Danio rerio: one gene and its partner. The protein of the gene in region 2 purifies or fractionates together with the protein of the main gene of each other region. This does not show direct contact. Links are inferred from orthologs where the notes say so. Each region holds a gene or a part of one and is shown on either strand. Other genes may lie near its edges.

Region 1 (10,715 bases), on a different chromosome or scaffold from region 2:
CTTTACCTCAATCAAATTGTGAAATGTTGTGTATGAATTACAAGAAATGTCAAATTGTTTGACAAAAACTCAAAATAATCTCAAATGAAATTAATGGTGTTACAATTATGATGAATCTGGTCAAAATTGGTAATTGTAAAGTTTGATGAAAACACCGTTATTTAGGGTAAGAAACAAACAAGTAGAGGTAAAGTTTGTTTTATATTCGCACATTCGTTAATTTAGAAGTTTCTATATTGTTTGGCATGTTACTTTGAATATTCGATCGGAATTAGCATGCAAGTTTGACTTCTAAACAACATTAACACTATCTAATTCACTGTGAACAATGTTGTACTTTGCTGCTAATATTCATTCATTTTCTTGTCGGCTTGGTCTCTTTATTAATCCGGGGACGCCACAGCGGAATGAACCGCCAACTTATCCAGCAAGTTTTTACGCAGCGGATACCCTTGCAGCCGCAACCCATCTCTGGGAAATGCTGCTAATATAATTTCCCTATTTATAATTTGCAAAATACACTTTTCTGAAATTATATTATTAAGGGAATGTCTGAATATCCGAATATAAAACCACCGTTACCTCTACAGACATTAGTATGTTATAATTGACGACACGCATAATATCCATATGGTGCAAATGAATGAAACTCCGCTGTTTTCTCTTAGTGACTGTATCAACACGCCTACAGTTACTTTTCTCGACACAATACAGTTAACTTAACGGACACATGACCCGCTGTCGCCACCGCACATCTATACTGTTGCTGTTTAACGGAGCAGCTTGTCCAAACCCACTCGAGTTGCCCGGAGTCTCACACAGAGCCGCGAGGGTGTTTGGGAGACCGCGCCGCGCTGCTCACCTTCTCTCCGGGGTTCAGCACATCTGGGCTGCGGCTCCGTGCGCTCTCCTCGGCGGACAGAGGGTGGCAGATCTCCTGGATGGACTTCTGCCCGGAGGAGGGCAGTGATCGCGGGGTACCGCCGTTGCTCATGGCGCTGCACTGCTCTGATCGCGCAGCTGTTTTTATTTCACTGCCGCACGAACCGAACCGAGGAGCCAAACATCTGTCAGCTGACGGACACCGCGCAGAACCGGAACACAACCGGTCAGCTGACGCGGAACACTTCCGGAAAAAAAGCACCTGTTTTCAAATTAAAAGCCCAACTTTTTCGCTTAAAAGTCTTCAAATATTCTGATGGTTTATTTGACTTTTTATTATTAACAATAGGCGAAGCGGTGGCACAGTGGGTGGTGCTGCGGTCACTTCACAGCTAGAAGGTCACTGGTTCGAGCCTCGGCTGGTTCAGTTGGTATTTCTGTGTGGAGTTTGTATGTTCTCCACGTGTTTGGTAAGTTAAATTGTCTGTAGTGTACGTGCGTGAATGAGAGTGTATGGAGGTTTTCCAGTGATGGGTTGCGGCTGGAAGTGCATCCGCTGCATAAAACATATGCTGGATAAGTTGGCGGTTCATTCCGCTGTGGCGACCCCAGATTAATAAAGGGACTAAGCCGAGAAGAAAATGAATGAATGTTATTCTTAATTTATTAACTAAATTAGCTGGATAAGTTGGAGGTTCATTCCACTGTGGCGACCCCAAATTAATAAAGGGACTAAGCCGAAATGAATGAATGAATGAATAAAGATTTGTTTGCGATAAATAATAGTTTTATTTTAATTTTATTTTAATAATAGTTTTATTTTAATAATAGTTTTATTTTAATTTTATTTTAATAATAGTTTTATTTTAATTTTTCGCATTTGCGCAGTTCTGAACAGCAGGTGTCGCTAGTGTCTGAGTTCTGAACGCTTCGAATCCCTGAATCATTTGGCAAAGCTGCTGATTCGAATCTTTGAGGAAAAAAAGCTTCGTTTCTCCCTTCACTAGGCGGCAGTGATGTGTTACTGTGACTGAAGAAAACACAGAGGAAACAAAAGCAGAAGAAACACTCCCTCCATGTGGACGTGGTCTGTTTCTGGAGAAGCTTGAGCTGGCAGTCGCGAGAGTAAGGTATGTTATAGGAATTTATTTGTAAATGTAGAGAGAGTAACATTAACGTTACATTTAGCCGACTGTTTTTGTTGTTATGTGCATAAATATTGATTTTCTTTTATCTGACCCAATGATTAAACACACTACCCATCTGACCCTGAGCAGGGGAAAGATTTAGTTTACTCTTATATGAGGGTCAGTTTAATAACATATTTTTGTTAAAAGCATGAAAGTGGTTTTATTTTGGTTTTATTTACTGAAATGTTTTCTTCGTTGTGTTTCATTTTCAGACAAAGGATCGAGTGTCCGGGCGAGAAACACGTGCGCCAGATTCAGCTCATCTCTTAATAAACGTTTTATAAAATATAAATGTTCCCTTTCTTGTGTTGTGGTGTTTAATTTGTACTTTTATGCTGTTCTGGTCTGTGAAATCCAATAAATTTGTTTTTTAACACATTTGTGTTGGTATTGCGTGAATTATGTTCCCTACAAAGACTTGTTTAAGTTATACACTTTGCAAACTAATTGCAAGTCTTACAAAGTGCAATGTGATTTGTTTAAATAGATAGATAGATTTAGAGAAATAGATCTCTCCCTCTCTCTCTCTCTCTCTCTCTCTCTCTCTCTCTCTCTCTCTCTATATATATATATATATATATATATATATACATACACATACAGGGTGGGTATGGATACACCTTAATAAACTTATTAGGAATTTCACAAGATGATTGTGTGCTTAGTTTTAAATGTAGCTTCATTCTTTCGTGTGTTATTTACAAACCCCCTCACATATAATAAAGTGCCACAAACAGGACGTTGATATCACCAACCTTTCCCATTTTATTAAGGTGTATCCATATAAATTGCCCACCCTGTGTGTGTGTGTGTATATATATATATATATATATATATATATATATATATATATATATATATATATGTGTGTGTGTGTCTATATATATATGTGAGTGTATGTATATATGTACAGTATATACACCACACAAAGCATCGTGGTGTACGATAAAAGTTTTCTATTTAAAAGTTTTTTTCTATTTCGAATTTGGCATCCTACAACACAACATGTTTTCGTTTACCTGTGTGACGTAGGTTGGTATTTCCTTTATAGGTGAATTGAGTTAACTAGAAAGATATATTTCTGTACATTTTTTGCTCTCAATCTTATCGTTAACTTTTTTGTGTTACATTGTACATATTTTTATGCACAAAAAAAAGTTCTCAGACAATAGCTATATTTAATATTTTCTTGGCTGAAATTTGGTTTATTGTTGAATCTCTTAAACTTACTAATAATAAGAAAAATAACATGCTTCTTAAAGCTTATGATGACCATCGATTGAGGCATTGTATGTATATATATATATATATATATATATATATATATATATATATATATATATATATATATATATATATACATACATACATAGTTACTTTACAATTATATTAATAATGTGACGTTTTATTTACCGGTTATATTTCTTTGTTTATATATATATATATATATATATATATATATATATATATATATATATATATATATATATATATATATATATATATATAAGCAAAAAAGATTTTTTAAAAAATAATATAAACAAAAAATATATAAACAAGAAAGCTAAATAAATATAAAAAATCCACTCTTTCTCCAGTCCAGCAGGTGTCGCCGCACAGCCTCACAGTAGCAAACACCTTCTGAAGAACAAGACTTCTGCATGATGGGGACACGCTTGAAGGTGAGAAACAACAGAACTGTACTGTAAATCATTGCTTACTAGAATTATACTGTACATTTATTTGCATTTGATAAGCATAGCAATTAATCGCGAACCTTGTAAATGCCTTTGCTGATGTTAAATTAAATAAAAAGACGAGCACAGATTAATTATATTATAAAATAATGCGTATAATCAATGTTTTCATATTAATAATTATTATTAATATAATGTATTCCATAAGGTGCTCCGGGTGTTCAAAGATCTGCACAGGACCAGAAGAGATGTTTTTAGAGATGATAACAGAGCTCTGACAGGTATCAGCCAGTATTTTAGTCAGCCTTAAACATTATACCTGTAGTATAGTATAGACAGTATCTATTTGTACTTCTCTTATACTGTTTGTAGTTATTGCTTTTTATACACTTGCATTGTCAAATACAAGTTTATTTATTTTATGTGTGGTTCTTTTGTTAGGAATGTTATTTTCCTACAAGATTGTAGTTTCTGTCCTGTTTTTTTTCACTTGTTTATGTTCCAAATCTAAATATTGTCAAATTAATCAATGTTTTATTTATTTAAATAGTGTGTTTGTCTTGTCTCAGTAAGTTTTTTTTCTTCTTTGGCTACGAAGCTGCCAGGGTTAAAATAAATGAAGAATTTAAAAGAAACAAGAATGAAACGTCAGATGATAATATTAAAGAGGTAAGTCCCATAAGAACCCCTGTTTTTGCTTTTTAATGAAAGTTGAATAAATGCGAAAGTTTGCGACTTTTATCTTAAAATTGCAAGTTGCTCTTGGAGGTGCTGGTTCTTAAAAAACTCAAGTACATAATAATAATATTAAATAATATTAATAATAATTCAGGCGAGGCAGTGGAGCAGTAGGCAGTGCTGTCACCTCACAGCAAAAAGGTCACTGGGTCAAGCCTCGGCTCAGTTGGTGTTTCTGTGTGGAGTTTGCATGTTCTCCCTGCCTTCGCGTGGGTTTCCTCTGGGTGCTCCGGTTTCCCCCACAGTCCAAAGACATGCGGTACAGGTAAATTGGGTAGGCTAAATTGTCCGTAGTGTATAAGTGTGTGTGTGGATGTTTCCCAGAGATGGGTTGCAGCTGGAAGGGCATCCGCTGCGTAAAAACTTGCTGGATAAGTTGGCGGTTCATTCCGCTGTGGTGACCCCGGATTAATAAAGGGACTAAGCCGACAAGAAAATGAATGAATGAATAATAATAATTAATTTTATTTGAAAATGGCACCTTTCTAGACACCCAAGGTCGCCTTACAATAAGCGTCAACAGCCATACTAGAACAAATTAAAACATATAATGAAACATTACCAAACAAGCATTGGCCAAACATGTATAAACACACATTGTTAATATAAAAATAACATGATAAAAAACAAAGCCTGCTTAAAAAGATGGGTCTTTAGACGAAATTTAAATGTGTTAAAACTATCACTGCCTCTTAGATCCAGGGGAAGCGAGTTCCACAGAGTTGCACAGAACAACATGAGCATTTATAGCAAATAAACAAATGTAAATATCCCGCTCGGTTTATGAGCCCTGTTGAGCGAGTTCTTACACTCCTATGAACTCGCTCTGCAGACACGCTCGTGTCTGTATCCAGAAGTATCACTGTAACAGCCGAGAGGAGAGGAAAAGTCATGCCAGCAGGTCAAATGTTCACAGTGAGAGAGAGAGAAATGAAGTTTACGTCCATTTTCTCAATCGCAGTGAAATAGAGGCTTCTACTGTTACTTCAGTGTTAGGTAATGACTGTCCAGCAAACACGCAGTGAAGAGTTTCTGCTCTTTAATTACTCGCGGTCGCCTCCCTCGCCATAGTAAGCTGCTCTGAAATAGCACATATAAACTTTCGGCTTGGTTTTTCAGACTTTGCTCACATACGGTTATTAGCGTACTATATAGTATGGAAGTATGCGATTTTGGACTCAAGTTTTTAGCCTTAGTTTTAGCCTTAGTTTCTAAATTGTGAGGGGAAAAGTAGTTTCAAAGTATACAAAGTTTTTGTATTTTTTTTTTTTTAATTCTGTGGCAGACGCATGTTTCTAAAAAACACGAATAATAGGAGAAACAAAGCTTTAAAAAAATGCTAATATTATTTTGCACTTTCTTTTCAGATGCTTAAAATGGCACGAGCGGTTGAGACCATTCTTCGTGAAAGTGTAATCCAGGCAGAGCATGTGGATGAAAATAAAATCGGTACGTAATTATGTAGACCAGTGGTTCTCAAACTTTTTTTACCAAGTACCACCTCAGAAAAAAATATTGCTCCAAGTACCACCATAATGACCTGTTAGCACAGGGATATAAAAACACGGGATACGACCCCAACAACTATTACAAATATGGGGAGGAATTTAGCTTCAAATGATAGAATACATAACAAACATTAGAAAATTAAAAATAAAACAAAAGGTTTAGCCTATTAAAATCAATTTACTAATCACATCAGTGTCATCGTACACGATAAAGGGTTAAAAGTGTTTTTTTTTTTTACTTTAATTATTTAGCGATTACTTCGCGTACCACTTGAAGGAAGCCTGTGTACCACTAGTGGTAGGCGTACCACAGTTTGAGAACCACTGATGTAGACAGTTGTACGTAGACAATAGTTTTTTTGCTGTGAACATCAGCTAGTAGAATTATTTTTAAAGATTGAAACAACATTTATGCTGTGTTCACACCAAACGAGGAACGTTCGAATAAAACGCGTTATTTGCACGTAAATAGACGAGTGAACATTTGAGTTTACGCTCTTAATTGGCGCATCAATATCCGGTTCATTCGCACGTCAAAATCACTTCACAACAGACACTGATTCGCGTGATGGGCAGGGCTTCTGTCTGCCTGGTGACTGTAGCTTCATTGCTAAATGGCTAACATGGATTTTATTAAGCTGTGTTTAGGTGCTTTATGAAGGCTGAAAAACAGCATTGATTTGTTTGGAGCAGTGTCTGGGTCCACTAAATCCTTTCAGAGGTGCACCCAGCTCTGTGAGCTCATAAACTCCTCCAGAAACAACCTGGATGATGGAAGCTTTCAGCGGGGCTTCTGACTGAGCCGAGTAGAGTTTGATAAACTGTTGTCAGTGTAGGCTGGAGGATTTTCCTCCGGTACCTCAACAAAAGGCGCTACGTCATAATCACGCCCCCACAAGAGCAAGCTCCTGATTGGTTAACGCGGCGCGAATGTTAAGTTCAGTTCATATATTCGAACTTGAGTGATTCACTCGAAACGCGTGTTAAGCGCTAAACACTCAATTCACGCTGTGTCATTCGTGCATATCACGCCATTTGCACTGCGTTATTCGCGCGTATCGCACCGCAGGATGTCTGTTCTCACCTTTGCATTGGCTTAACATGTAAATCACTCGCACTTGATGCTTCTTCTGCAACTGGTGTGAACGCAGCATTAGAATCACCCCCTACGTTCACCTCAAATTACCAAAGTCTGTGTGAAATCAAATTTTACAGTGTTTATTTTGCTAGCCCAAAACACCTTGTTATTCTTTAGGTCAGGGGTCACCAATCCTGGTCCTGGAGGGCCGGTGTCCCTGCAGGGTTTAGCTCCATCTTGCCTCAACACACCTGCCTGGATGTTTCAAGTATACCCAGTAAGACCTTAATTAGCTTGTTCAGGTGTGTTTGATTAGGGTTGGAACTAAAATCTGCAGGACATCAACCCTCCAGGAACAAGTTTGGTGACCACTGCTTTAGGTCAATAAACTGTTTTGGTAATCGTCAGTTAAAGTTTAACCATTTGCTTCTGTGTTTGGAGTGGTGGTCCGTCTCTGTTGATGTCAGTTTGGTGGTTTCAGCCACAATATTCTTAGCTATGCCCCTCATAGTTTGCCATGTGAAAGATGGAAAGAAAAGGAAAGCCCCGCCCCTAATCGATATCCTGTTTTAATTGAAAGTAGATCAACAAACTGAAACAAGTCTCAGCAACTACTGGCTCACACCATACCTGCCACTCACCTGATGTGGTAATGCCCATATATCAATCATTATTGGTGGGCGGGGGGACCGCACTCCTACGTCAAGTTACGTTCGGTCTCAAAGCCCCTCTAATTGGTCCACCGTTTTTATGTTGTTAAATTGAAAAAAAAGGACTAGGTGTGTTTATATTACCCCAATATGACGGTCAATACACTATACCTACACACACGTCTGTCCAAACAGCTTGAAAAGTAGATTTTTCACCATAGGTGCCCTTTAAGCAATGTAATAAAATGTTATCAATTGTTATACTTAAGCTAATAAGATGTATAAAGTGTCCAGGTTTTTAAAACTGACTGATTGTTTCCTCTGGCTAAAATGTATTTCTTATATTTGCAGTGTTGCGGCCGCGGAAGAGTCTCCTGCTAGAAAACGTACCTTACTGTGATGCACCCAGTAAAAAGACATGACCCGGATTTACCTGCATGACCCAGGTCTATCTGTGATATTGGACGATGAAACGCAGTCATAAAGATGACTCAGTATTCTTCCATATTTCATTTCCACTGGAATATCACACACAAGCTACAAAAAACGTGTATATTTGGTGAGGCTGATGTTATTGTGCTCAATATAAAGCATTGAATTGCCACTTTGTAAATAGCATTTGTATGGATAAAAGTGTTGAATAAACTGGAAAAGAAAAGGGATTATTCAGACAGAATTGTGTCTCTTTTGTGTGCTAACGTGATTTACATTATGATTTTTCATATTTACCTGTTGCTAACATGTTTATAACATGCTTTAACATCTAGTGAACAGGTTTCGGCACATTGTAAACATGAATTAGCATGTTGCTAACATGTTTCTACCTTGTTTAACATGTTTTCTACATGAATTAGCATCCAAGGGTTAATGTTACACTAGTATGTTTATATTATAAACTTACTAGCCTAACATTAACTTTAACACCTTTATAATGCTTTACCAGTTTTCAGGATACATCATCCATATGCACTGGGACGCATCGTCAGTGGTGTATCCTGGAGTCACTAGTTGTTTCGGGTTTTACATTTATTTACTGAATGCAAGCCACATTATTAAAACACAATAGTTTCTGAAACTTATGACAAAAGTAAATGTTAATTCTGGTAAATATATTTTTTTAATTAATTGAAACATAAAAAATTATGATACAACATCTGTAGGCATAATCGAGGTACCACTTTTAAAGAGGTTTATTACCCTCATGGTCTTCACATTTGTTTATATGGTCCATAAGACGCTGTATTTAAAACAGACAAACAAAAAAAATCACATTTTCCACAATAGTCAACTCATGTCTATTCATTTAAAGAATGTAAAATACTTTTGAAATTTCTCTTAAGGAAATGCCTTTATAGATTAAATCATTTCTGTCATTATTAAGTACATACAAAGTACATCACCACAAAAACAATCATAACCATTAAAACTGAAAGGAATGTGTAGATTCTACAGCACGTCTTCATCTTGAGGGATCTCAGAATATGAGTTTCTTCGGCTTTTCCCAAGGAAATCCTTCACGTCCAAAGTGTCCATAGCAGGCTGTTTTCTGGTAGATTGGTTTCTTTAGATCAAGCTCCCTGTAAAAAGAAATTATTCCTTAATTAAAGCTGTCAAACTTATCATAAGTAAGTTTTAATAAAAACTTCAAACTTATCATAAAAAATTCTGTTGCCTATTTAATAACATGCATATAATATGAAAGGGTAATTTTCCATATTATTCATTCATTCATACATTTTCTTGTCGGCTTATTCCCTTTATTAATCCGGGGTCGCCACAGCGGAATGAACCGCCAACTTATCCAGCAATTTTTTACACAGCGGATGCCCTTCCAGCCACAACCCATCTCTGGGAAACATCCACACACATTCACACACACACTCATACACTACGGACAATTTGGCCTACCCAATTCACCTGTACCGCATGTCTTTGGACTGTGGGGGAAACCGGAGCACCCGGAGGAAACCCACGCGAAGGCAGGGAGAACATGCAAACTCCACACAGAAACGTCAACTGAGCCAAGGTTCGAACCAGCGACCTTCTTGCTGTGAGGCAACAGCACTACCTACTGCGCCACTGCCTCGCTAATTGTCCAAATTAAAATATAATATATTTCATTTTTTTGAGGGTGTTAAAGTTCCCCATTATGCTTTTTCAGAAATTATCTATCAATCATGTAGTGTGTAATACATTTGTTGTTAAATGTAAAGGCTCTGCAAAATGTGCACATGCAAATATAGACTTCCAAAAGAGAAAGTAATTTCTGAACTACCTAAAACAGAACCCATTAATTAGATTTATGCGAAGCACAAACATGCAGGCTTGTGACAGATTTGCATAAGGTTAATAGTCTGCATAGGTTGAACAATGTCTAAAGCCCCATTCAGAACACCAGCGACTTTATTGTGATGTTTTGGCCTCTAGTGGACGTTCCTGCTTCTGGTTGCCTAGATACATTTATGAATGACGTTGACTCTCTAAGTATATAATATCCAAAATCACTCACTTCACAAGCTATGAAGTTAACCCGACAAGAGGCAAAGTGTTGGCTTGGTGTGTTCCAGACTTAAGAACCAATTAAGTTATTTTGTAGTACATTTACATTTAGTCATTTAGCAGACGCTTTTATCCAAAGCGACTTACAAATGAGGACAAGGAAGCAATTTACACAACTATAAGAGCAACAATGAATAAGTCCTGCAGGCAAGTTTCAGGTCTGTAAAGTCTAAGAAGGAAAGTATTAGTAATGTTTTTATTTTTTTTTGGGTACAGTTAGTGGTATATCAAGAGAGGCAATTGCAGATTAAGAAGGGAAGTAAAGACTAAATAGTTGAGTTTTTAGTCGTTTCTTGAAGACAGTGAGTGACTCTGCCGTTCTGATGCAGTTAGGGAGTTCATTCCACCAACTGGGCAGATTGAGCGTGAGCGTTCGCGAAAGTGATTTCTTCCCTCTTTGGGATGGAACCACG
Region 2 (10,640 bases):
AAAATATTAAAATAAAATAAAGAAAAAAAAAAACATTCTGACCCAATACTTTTGTATGGTGGTATATGATGCATACACAGAAAATTGCCATGCTAAGGTTTTATGCTATGCTCTTGCCATAAAGATTAATGAGAATGTTAACGAATAACTCCCTACAGGTTTTATGAATTGATCACAGTGGTCCAGGAGGATGTCATCTCTACCCACTAACTCCCTCTTTGATTGTATAAACCAATCAAAAACGATGTCATATCTGTCCCTTCTTTTCACGACCAAATGCAATAACTTTCTTCCCCGGCTCCTAATCAATAGCGAAAAAGTCGATTGATTAAAATGTATTTAGTCCTCTGAGATATATGATTCATCATATTTTAGAAGGAAAGGTTACACAATCAAAAAATGAAAGGCCTTCATTAGGTCCGAGGATGATGGAATGAGAAAATCGATGAGTCGCATGGAGGAGGCTTAAGATACTCATTGCATATTTAAAGCAGCATTGACCTGATTCTCACTCTCATTTTTCTCTGAAGTGCCAGAGCACGGGGAACCAAGGGTCATTCGTTTTCATCCTCGAATTCTATGGAGAAAGGCACATCCCTCTCAGTGTTCTCATTCGGGTATTGTAAAATGCCTTTGAAGTGGAAGTTCAGCACTGGAAATCCTCACATCACTTGGAATCTAAAGAGACAGGCGGATTAATTGCTTTGGCAGTGATGCTATCGTTGGTTGGTTGGCTGGGCGTGGGTATACACGACTATGAATGTGCGTGTAGACACCAGCTGATATGGCACTTGTCGTCAAAAAGGCTGTGATATAATCCCCCTTCTCAAAGAGCCGGTATCCAGCTGTGCGTGAAAGAATACGCCAGCAGAGTGCGGGGTCTGAAGCGAGGGGTCAGGGGTCGTCTGTCAGCTTTTAATGTGCTGTTAGCAGTGCAGGAGCATCGGCAGGATACAAGGGACTTAATATGTCTCTGTTAAACTGGCCTGTGCTCTGAATGTGGTTCTCCCATCTTCCCCTCTGGGATATTGCTTCTTTCAGAGATAAACTCTCTTTATGTCACAACTAAAGGACAGGAAGTTCAGCTTGGCCTTGGGTAAGGAAAATGCACAGACCCACATCTGCGAGGCCTGGGTTTGAAGAGATACAAGCTGCAGTTGTGTTTATCAAGGTTTTTATATTTTAGCAGTTTTGTATAAGATTTTATTTCAATACAATTGTACATATGGTGTTACTTTTAGTCTAGTTTTTTATTTTGTGAACGCATTTGTATTTTTGTACAAGTGCACAAGTTTGCGACGTTTGTGAATGTTCGTAACGAATGTTCGAATGTTTGTAACAACAGAATTTGTAACCTTAGTTGGCTAACGATGGTTTTCAGAAACACACCCCTAGTGTATTAGAGTTTTATTAGATCGCAAGGCTGGGGTTAGGGTTAGGGTTAGGTTAAGGCCCAATCCCGATTATACCCCTTAGCCCTTCCCCTTACCCAATTATATTTAGCTTGAAGGTTAGGGCTAAGGAGAGGAGCTAGATAGCCTTCAAACAGAGATTTTTCAGGACCTTAACCAAAAGGTAAGAAATTTTCCCAGAATACACCATCTACAATGGTAGCTTGGCTGGTAATGGATTCTTAATAGCGCTTGTATTTCACCATCATGCTTAAAAAACTCAGCTAAAATAAAAACTGCAAAATTTAGCCCCACAACATTCTGTCACTCAATGACACTCGAATACCCTGTCTGATAAGTCTAATGGCTGGGAATGAGCTTTTTATAGTGTCTGGTGTAATGTTAATGTTGTTTTTATTTGTTTACATAGATGGATATGGCCACGGTGTAAGTGCACAGTACAGATACAAGTTTATAGCCACATTATATAGTATGATGACATGATATATGCCTTTAGTGATTTTCGGAAGATAAATGCCCAAAAGCAACACAACTAGAATAACTACAGCAGTCATGATCGTCTGATCTCATATAAAGCAAGAGATTGCGATGACATATGATGATGTGTGCAGATGTTGTAGTGCTGTTCCATGTCTTGGGGGGTACATTTTGAACCCCTTCCCCTTCACACTCAAGGGGCAAGGGGAATATGAAGGACAAAAATAATACAATAATAGAATTGGGATTGGGCCAAAATGTTGATATGTTACAATTTTTCTTATAGCCTGGAAAATGTCTAATGGTGGAGTGGTTTCAGTAGAGTTTAAGCAAACAGTCTACTGATACTCTAAAATAATTAATTGATATGTAGTTTCAATATTACATAGTCATTAAAATGTGCAATTTGGACAAAGTGATATCAAAATAAAATAATTGTATACACAAACACTGAATCAAAAACTATTAATAGTTAAACAAATAAATGTAAAAAAAAGAATAATTCGGAATTTTTCATATTAAAGATCATGTATGTAAATAAACATACTTTTTTTTGGCAAATTACTATTTATGTATTTTTTTTCTGTTTGTCTGTAAAAGTGCCGGGCGTCACGGTGATGCAAAGGGTGAAACGATTGCCTCACATCAAGAAGGTCACTGGTTCGAACCCGGTTGAATCAGTTGGCATTTCTGTGTGGTACGGGTGAATTGAATAAGCTAAATTGGCCATTGAGTATGTGTAAGAATGAGATGATGTATGGGTGTTTCCCAATGTTGGGTTGTACCTGGAAGGGCATCCTCTGTGTAAAACATATGCTGGATAAGTTGGTGGTGCATTCCGATGTGGCGATTCCTGGTTAATAAAAGGACTGAGCCAAAAAGAAAATGAATAAAAGTAAAAACGCCATCTACAGGTACTTCTCTAAACAGATGCATTTCAAATTTTTTACCACAGCACAGAATAATTGCTTGCTGGTGTAATTATAAACACAATTATTTTGCTAATTATCATTTGATTTAATTTTTTGTGCCTTATTTTAGCTAGTTATAATTTTTCATGTATTGTGGATTTTTTTTTATTATAGCAGTGAACTTATTTTTTATTTTATTGTTATTATTATCAGTGCTATAACATTGCAACACACTAATAACCTTGGTGTGTATATGCTTCATGCCTGATTATAGTTTTTATGAAGTATTTCAAAACTGCATATAAGGCATCTGAATGTATGTGGATAACTTTTCTGGGCCTGTTTTCTGAAATCATTCACATGCATTTTAATTTACTTCTGTCTCTGTGAAGAATTAGAGCTCTAGTTGGAACTAGATGTCCTTTTCTAATAAACGTAATAAGCAGGCATGTAGAAACAGCAAATGTCAAGAGTGATACAGCGTATACAGTATGGAGAGCGCCCGAGCCAAACTGCATACTCATAGATTAAAAGTGTCAATAGAGTTTATTTTCAGTTGACAGAGAAGGAATTGTGGCCTCAAATAGCTGGGACTCAATTGCAAGCAAACCGCATCACATTGATCAAAGCTGATGCCGTGGCAACAGCAGGCAGTAAAATCAGACATACTTACTGGATTTATTAAAATGGGCTGCGAGAACTTGACAAGCTGTAACCCAGTCAGTGTAGATAAACAGGAACATACAAATGGGATTGCTTCAGGAAATGTTCATGGAAATAGTCTTTTGTAATATCCAGCAGTATGCAAATCCAGTTCGTAAATGTTTGGGTACTGCCATGGTAGGGAGTGAAAGACTAAATGAAAGAAGGAACCTTGGAGGAAAATCTGCCTTGTGGTCACATTCACAGCTCCATGGCAAAAATTCATGGGCAAAATCCAGTCACTCAGTGGGAATCCTTTCGATGTAGAGTTTAATGTGAGGGCAAAAAAGAGTTCCCCACATGGTTTGTTTTCAGGTTGGTAACCAATTTTACAAGTTGACTATCATAGAGCTGCTTAGTTTGAGAGCGATTGCCACACTATTGACCGCAGAAATTTTTGACTGAATTTTCACTTGTAAAATCCAGCAATTTCATAAGAAACACATATAATTAGTGCAAAATATTTTGCAATAGGTTTAAGTTGAAAATGCAAAAGTGCCACATTGACCAACACAAAGCTGCTCACTTTTTTAAGTTGAGTTGTCCTTAAATAAATAAAGGAATGAATGAATGATTAAAATAATGAATGAATGAATGAATGAATGAATGAATGAATGAATGAATGAATGAATGAATGACTTCCTTATAAAATTAATAAATAAAAAACATATTATTAACAAAAAAACTATTATTATTATCATTATTATCATTAATGTTATCATTATTATTATTATTATTATATTCAGAACATTTCTCAGTAATGGGTTGCAGCTGGAAGGGCATCTGCTGCATAAAACATAAGCTGGATAAGTTGGTGTTTCATTCAGCTGTGGCGACCACAGATTAATAAAGGAAAGTCGAAATGAAAATAAATGAATAAATATTCAGAACAATCATTGTTTTTATATCGTTGTTTTTTAATAATGTGTTTTTGTAAAGGCACATTTTTATATTGTTTTTACAAACATATGTTCAATTTCCTAATGCTTTTTTTTAATGTATAATTATTTATTTATTCATTTTATTTTATTTTGACATGTCAGATGCTTCACTATACAACTTTTTTTTACTTCTGATCTGTTAAGTAATGATTAAGCAAACATTTATCCAAACTCAAAGTAACTACCATGGTAATATATAGGAACAACCAGGTGAGCAAATTTTTAATTTGATTTAAATGCAGGAAAAAAGTTTGAGGGGTAATTTCTTATTTATTTATTAAGTTATTTTATTTTATTGACTTCAATAACAAACACAAACTTTGACCTTACACAAACAAGTCAATAATAGTAGCAATTGTAATAGGTTAACAGATCAAACAGTAAACATTAAAAACAGGAACAAAAATTAAAAACTAAATAGCCACACATACATAACACAAATACAGCAAAAGGAAAGAAGGACTTATCTGTGATATTTCCAAAATAATTATCATAATAATCCAAGAATCACTTTTTTGTTTTTAACCAATCTAAGAGATTTAATGAAAATATACATTTTTATTATAAAATGTGGAAAAAAAAGAAGGCTGTGAATGCGAAAATTTTTGTTCGTGACTAAAATATTTTCCATACAAAATAAAAAAGTTAGTAATTCTCTGGTATATCGAATTACCGTTATAGTATAAAAATAATAAACTAAACATTTATACTCCATATATAGAAGTAACTTGGTGAACAACCTCTTTAATTAGATTTTTGAAGCTAGATGCAAGTAAAAGTTTGAGGAAGAAAAATTCTTACGTGTCAACACCCCGTGACTGTGACCGTTGAAATCAGGACTGCGCATGCGTCAGTTGTGTCACTAGAATACACCGGGAAGGTCGACGGAGCGCTGCTAGCCGACAAACATGATGTCCATTGCTGCCCGTTCGGGGACTTTTTCCCCGTACCTGCAAGCTACAAATTATGCCGTGGCAGGTCCACTAAAGCCTCTCATAGCCGGCGTCGTCGTGAAGAGTGATAATCTGTTGGTGGACACGAAGAAACCGTTCCTGTGCCGGGAGTCCTTGTCCGGTCAGAGCGCGAAGAGCGGCCTCGCCGTGTCCTCCAGCCTGAACGGTGAGTTTAATAGCGGGCCTCAGTCAATTCGAGATTCCCGGTCTCTGTAGCAAGAGGAGGCCGTGCAGCTAGCGCGCACTCAAGGGCACAGTGAACTCTCATGATTAACGTTGATGTGCTTCGTCAAGTGTCTCAAGAATTTTGTAGTGTTGTACGTTACTAATGCCGAAGTATTATTATTGCAAAGTTTATTTAATACCAACGTATATAACAAAACGGCAGTAGCAGTAGCTCACGTGCTACATCCGTTAGCTTCATTGCTAATGTCCTTGCAGCAGCTAAGACTAGAAGTAAATCAATGTCTGTCTTTTGGGGGGGAAAAAAATAATTGTCATTTAGCCTCACTTTGTACGAATTACGAATGTTATAATAAAATAATTAAGTACGTTTTAGAATTCGGTTCATTTCATTTATGGTTTTGGGTTAAATATAACGTTAGGTAACGTTATTGGGTTTATTATATGACACAACGTCAGGCCTCTTGTTACAAATTTTTGATGTGGATTTCTGTTGCAAATAGATATTTAGATGTTATGTTTCATCAACGTCGGAGTTGAATATTAAGCTGAATATACTGGACATTTGTCAAGTTTTCGACATTCACAGCCACAGTGACCTCCCTTCCTTTAAACTTGTATATGTATGTATGTGTGTGTATATATATATATATATATATATATATATATATATATATATATATATATATATATATATATAAAACATAAGGTGGCTTTTTAAATCAGGCCTTGAGATATGCATGTGTTCATGTTGTCATTGTAGTGACACTGAAATCACCATGAGCATCACAGGTGTCTGCAATTTATTCGTTCAGAGATTTGTCAAGTTGTAGTTTGATATTCAGAAAAGATTTATGTGCCACACTATATTTACTATGTTTATTTATATTATATAAAATAATGATGATAAACAATATATACACACACACACAAACATGTATATTATACATAGAGGTAAAATTGGTTTTATATCCGCACATTCTGACTTTCTCCTTAATAATATAATTTCATAAAAGTATTATTTGCAAAATCTGTATAGTGAAATCATATTAGCAGCCAATGACTATAAAAGTACAACATTGTTCACAGTCAAATAAACAGTGTTAATGTTGTTTTCAAATCACACTTGCAGGTTATTTTAGACCGAATATTTTAAGTGCTATAGTAAACAATAAAGGGAGTTGTCACTGAATAAATGTGTTAATATAAAACCAACTTTACCTCTGTTTTATATGGGATCTGCTTTATTATTATTTGCATCGTGGAACTCATAGGGCCGTATGTCAGTTTATTGTTCTGCTACTATTTCATGTGCCATTCAATGCACATTTTTTAGTATTTCTAATCTGTTTATTTAGTTCTGTTATTATTGTTTGTTTTTCCATTTTGTAGCTCGCTCTTCAGTACGCTTCGCTCACACAGACATCAAGATCCCTGATTTCTCTGACTACCGCCGGCCAGAAGTTTTGAACCCAAATAAGCAGTCGCAAGAGAGTGGTGATGCCCGGCGGGCCTTCTCCTATCTGATGACGGGGTCTACCCTTGTGGTTGGAGTCTATACAGCCAAGACAGTCGTTACACAGTTTGTGTCCTCTATGAGTGCCTCAGCTGACGTTTTGGCTTTGTCCAAGATTGAAATCAAGCTGGCAGACATCCCTGAGGGTAAGAACATGACCTTCAAATGGAGAGGGAAGCCCCTGTTTGTCCGCCACAGAACAGAGAAGGAGATCGAGACTGAGGCTGGCGTCAATCTCGCTGAGCTTCGGGACCCTCAGCACGACAAAGACCGTGTTGTGAACCCGTCCTGGGTTATCGTCATTGGTGTCTGCACCCATCTGGGCTGTGTGCCTATTGCTAATGCCGGTGAATTCGGCGGTTATTACTGCCCGTGCCACGGCTCTCATTATGATGCATCTGGTCGCATCAGGAAAGGCCCTGCTCCGCTCAATCTGGAGGTGCCCTACTATGAGTTCCCAGATGACGACACAGTGGTTGTAGGATAAAGGACTGTACTACATTAACTATGATCCACACAGACCGTGTGCTTTGCGTGTTTGATTTTTGTTCATCTTGTTTCAGACACACTATCTGCATTGACTCGATGGGTAACAAAGGTTAATTGTAAGTAATAAAATGTATTTTATCTGATGGAATCTTCACTCAGCTCTATTTATTCAGACTCGATATACAAATTGTTTAACGGAGTCACTTGGGTTGTCTAATTTTATGCATTGCAGGTTTTTCAGATAAGGAACAAATTAGATCTGTAGGATATAATTGTTAAAGTGATGTTGGCAAAAACAACAAAGTCAGGTGGGTGATGTGTGCAGGGAGTAGGTGGAAAACAAAGTGCAGTTTACCATACATAATCAATGAAATAGCTTTTGCACCAATATTTTGTCATTGGTAAATGTAATAACTGTTTGAGGCTAGGTTTCAGATGAAACCATTAAAAAGAGTGAAATATGGACACGTTGAGTGTTCTGTTCCTGATTGTCTGTGGGTAAACCACTTTAGTAAAGCTGAAAAAAATATTCACCAGGTTCATGCTGTCTTTTACATTTCTTAAAAATCTATTTTAAGACATAAAAAAGATAAAACCAAATCTATGATGCATGTGAGAATATGATGATTGTGGTAATCATGATTGATTTTAAACGCATTAAAAAGCAAAGACTGAACAAGAACAAGATGTTTTATTTGCTCTACGGGCCATACTGACTTGATATCTGCAGTCATTTCAAATTCAGGAACAGTTTTATTTAATGAGTGTGCATCAGTTTAAAGCTACATGTTTACAAAGGAAAAAAAGCAAACAATGTTTTATTTATTTATTTTTATGCTTCTACCGTCATTGATTACTCCCACAGCACTAGTCCAGGTAGCCACAAAACATTAATTGATTTTATTGGCGTTAGCCCTTTTTCTCTTCCCTCTTCCTCAATTAGCTTTTAGTGTTTAAAAGTAGAAAACAAAAAGCTCACAGGCCATTCTGAAAAAGTGGACTACAGATTTTACACTAATTTATCATTCAACATTTTGAGGCCTTGCCACCAAAACAGAAGCCTTTTGTTAAATAATGTAAGAACTTTGTTTAAATGCTACTGGGTTGTAATTTTCAATTTGGGACATATTTTGAAATATCGCAACAAGTATTCTAGTATACTATTTTGTTCTGACTAGAAATATGGAGAATCCTTATTTAACATACAAATAAAATACATGTTTATAAGGATGCACAATGGTTAAAATTGATTCTAATAATCTCAATATGTAAAGCAAAACAGGACAGTTTGTCTTGAATGAAAGTCGTTCTTTTGATTTCACGTGATTGAAGTGGCATCAATTAAACATGAAATACTTAAAGCTAAGAAGCTAATGCATCTTGTACATTTGAATTGGAATCTCAATATGAATTGCATGCGTTTACTATTCTGCCATTTTTTTATTTATTTTTTCAGAAACCCAGAGTTTCCACATGAAGTCAATTGCTATATACTTGTAATGTGCTCTTGTGAGGCGACACAAAGACAGGTAAACAGTAGCGTTCCTCTCATCCAGATATTATTTGAATAGACGTTTCAGGGCCATATTATCATATAGAGTAGCTTTTCTCCGTGGGTGCATTTGTGTTTGAATGTCTGAGAAATGCGTCGGACATGTCTGCGGGTTAATAGAGTTGATATGCTCCTTTGCTGGGCTGCACAGAGCTTCAGTAGACCTTCGAGGTGAAACCGTTAATTCATACCAGCATATTGATGCCACTTGACTCGGGCACAAAGCATACGCTTCATCTGGAACATTTTGTGTAACCTAACAATTCAGGTTTGCCTTTTTATGATTGTGCCACTTCTATTACTTCTATTAGCTTGTCTTTTTTTTTTTTTTTTTTTTTTTTTAAACATCTTTTTCACTGAATGCATCTAGGTATCGCCTGAACATTCACTGATTTCATTTTCTTGCAAGCTCTGGGTATTTTAATATATTTAATTCACTTGATTGCCGTTTTCTCTGCCTTCCTCTGAGCATCCACTACTTATGACATGCAACCTGCTCAGTCGTCCTGGAGTCCTCAGCTCATGCCAGGTCTTGCTGCCAGCAGCTTGGCCGACATTCAGGCCTGACTGATAAAATCACGAGGTCCCGGGGGTTGTCAGGGTACCATTGTGTATCAGCGGAAAATCACGGAGATCCCTGGCTCCAACATACTTATTTAGTATCCAACAGCAATCACTTTATTGGACTAATTTCTGGGCAAAAAGTCAGTCGGAAGGAAATAATTTTCACATTTTACTTTCTTTTATTAGTTTAACCCTTGCTCTGTTCAAACATCCACTAAATTAAACAAAAAATGCATTAGATTATTATCTATTATTAATTATCTGTTAATCAACCTCAGTCCTGATCAAGACTACTAAATGTTTTTTTGTTTGTTTTTAAATACAGGATTTTAACTCTTTCATTGCCAAGTTTACAAATTATGTCACTGATTTGTTGGGAAAAAAACACATAACATGAAAAATGACATTTTTAATATAAAAGAAATTGTGGACTTTAAGTTTCACATGTTTCTTGGACATGTAAAAGATTAGTAACGGCATTGCCTTTGATGTATTGTTAGTTTTTTTGCAGCATTTAATTTAATTTTTTCTCCCTATTATACTGTTGGTGACTATTTTTGCCCATTAGCTTCCATTATAACCACATTTCGCATTTGCAAAACCATGAAAACTAAACCATCACAAAATGCATATAATCAACATTTTAATTGTTGCTGTTTTTTCCTGTTGGGAAAAGATACAATTTTGTAATGTTTACTGTTTAGCATCGGTTGGCACCATTAAACTTTTAGATAGGTTTGTGAAAAAAAAAAAAAAAGTTTAGTGGGATGATTTTTATGTGGAGTTTTATGAAGTATAACAGCAAATTAAAGTGTGTATGTGTGTCTGAGAGTGTGACAGTGACCTTTGTGTATTTGATGCATCTGAGGAAATCAAACCATCCATCTCATCTCTCAGAACTACATGTAGTAAACAAAATAAAGACTGGTATTTATTCATG

What was found.
Region 1: the proteins of uqcrfs1 (region 2) and lyrm7 purify together in Homo sapiens (co-immunoprecipitation; 5 studies listed by BioGRID and IntAct, with this or other methods). This does not show direct contact. The link is inferred for Danio rerio from reciprocal best matches to the Homo sapiens genes UQCRFS1 and LYRM7.

Annotation. Positions count from the first base shown.
Region 1 is NC_133185.1:5,435,304-5,446,018, forward strand, and holds lyrm7 (complex III assembly factor LYRM7), read left to right. Parts: upstream 1-3,716; 5' UTR 3,717-3,733; coding exon 3,734-3,754; intron 3,755-3,977; coding exon 3,978-4,050; intron 4,051-4,367; coding exon 4,368-4,438; intron 4,439-5,874; coding exon 5,875-5,956; intron 5,957-8,094; coding exon 8,095-8,165; 3' UTR 8,166-8,416; downstream 8,417-10,715. Other genes in the region: mat2al (methionine adenosyltransferase II, alpha-like), read right to left, coding at 9,218-9,320.
Region 2 is NC_133182.1:45,936,722-45,947,361, forward strand, and holds uqcrfs1 (cytochrome b-c1 complex subunit Rieske, mitochondrial), read left to right. Parts: upstream 1-5,312; 5' UTR 5,313-5,351; coding exon 5,352-5,562; intron 5,563-6,971; coding exon 6,972-7,582; 3' UTR 7,583-8,113; downstream 8,114-10,640.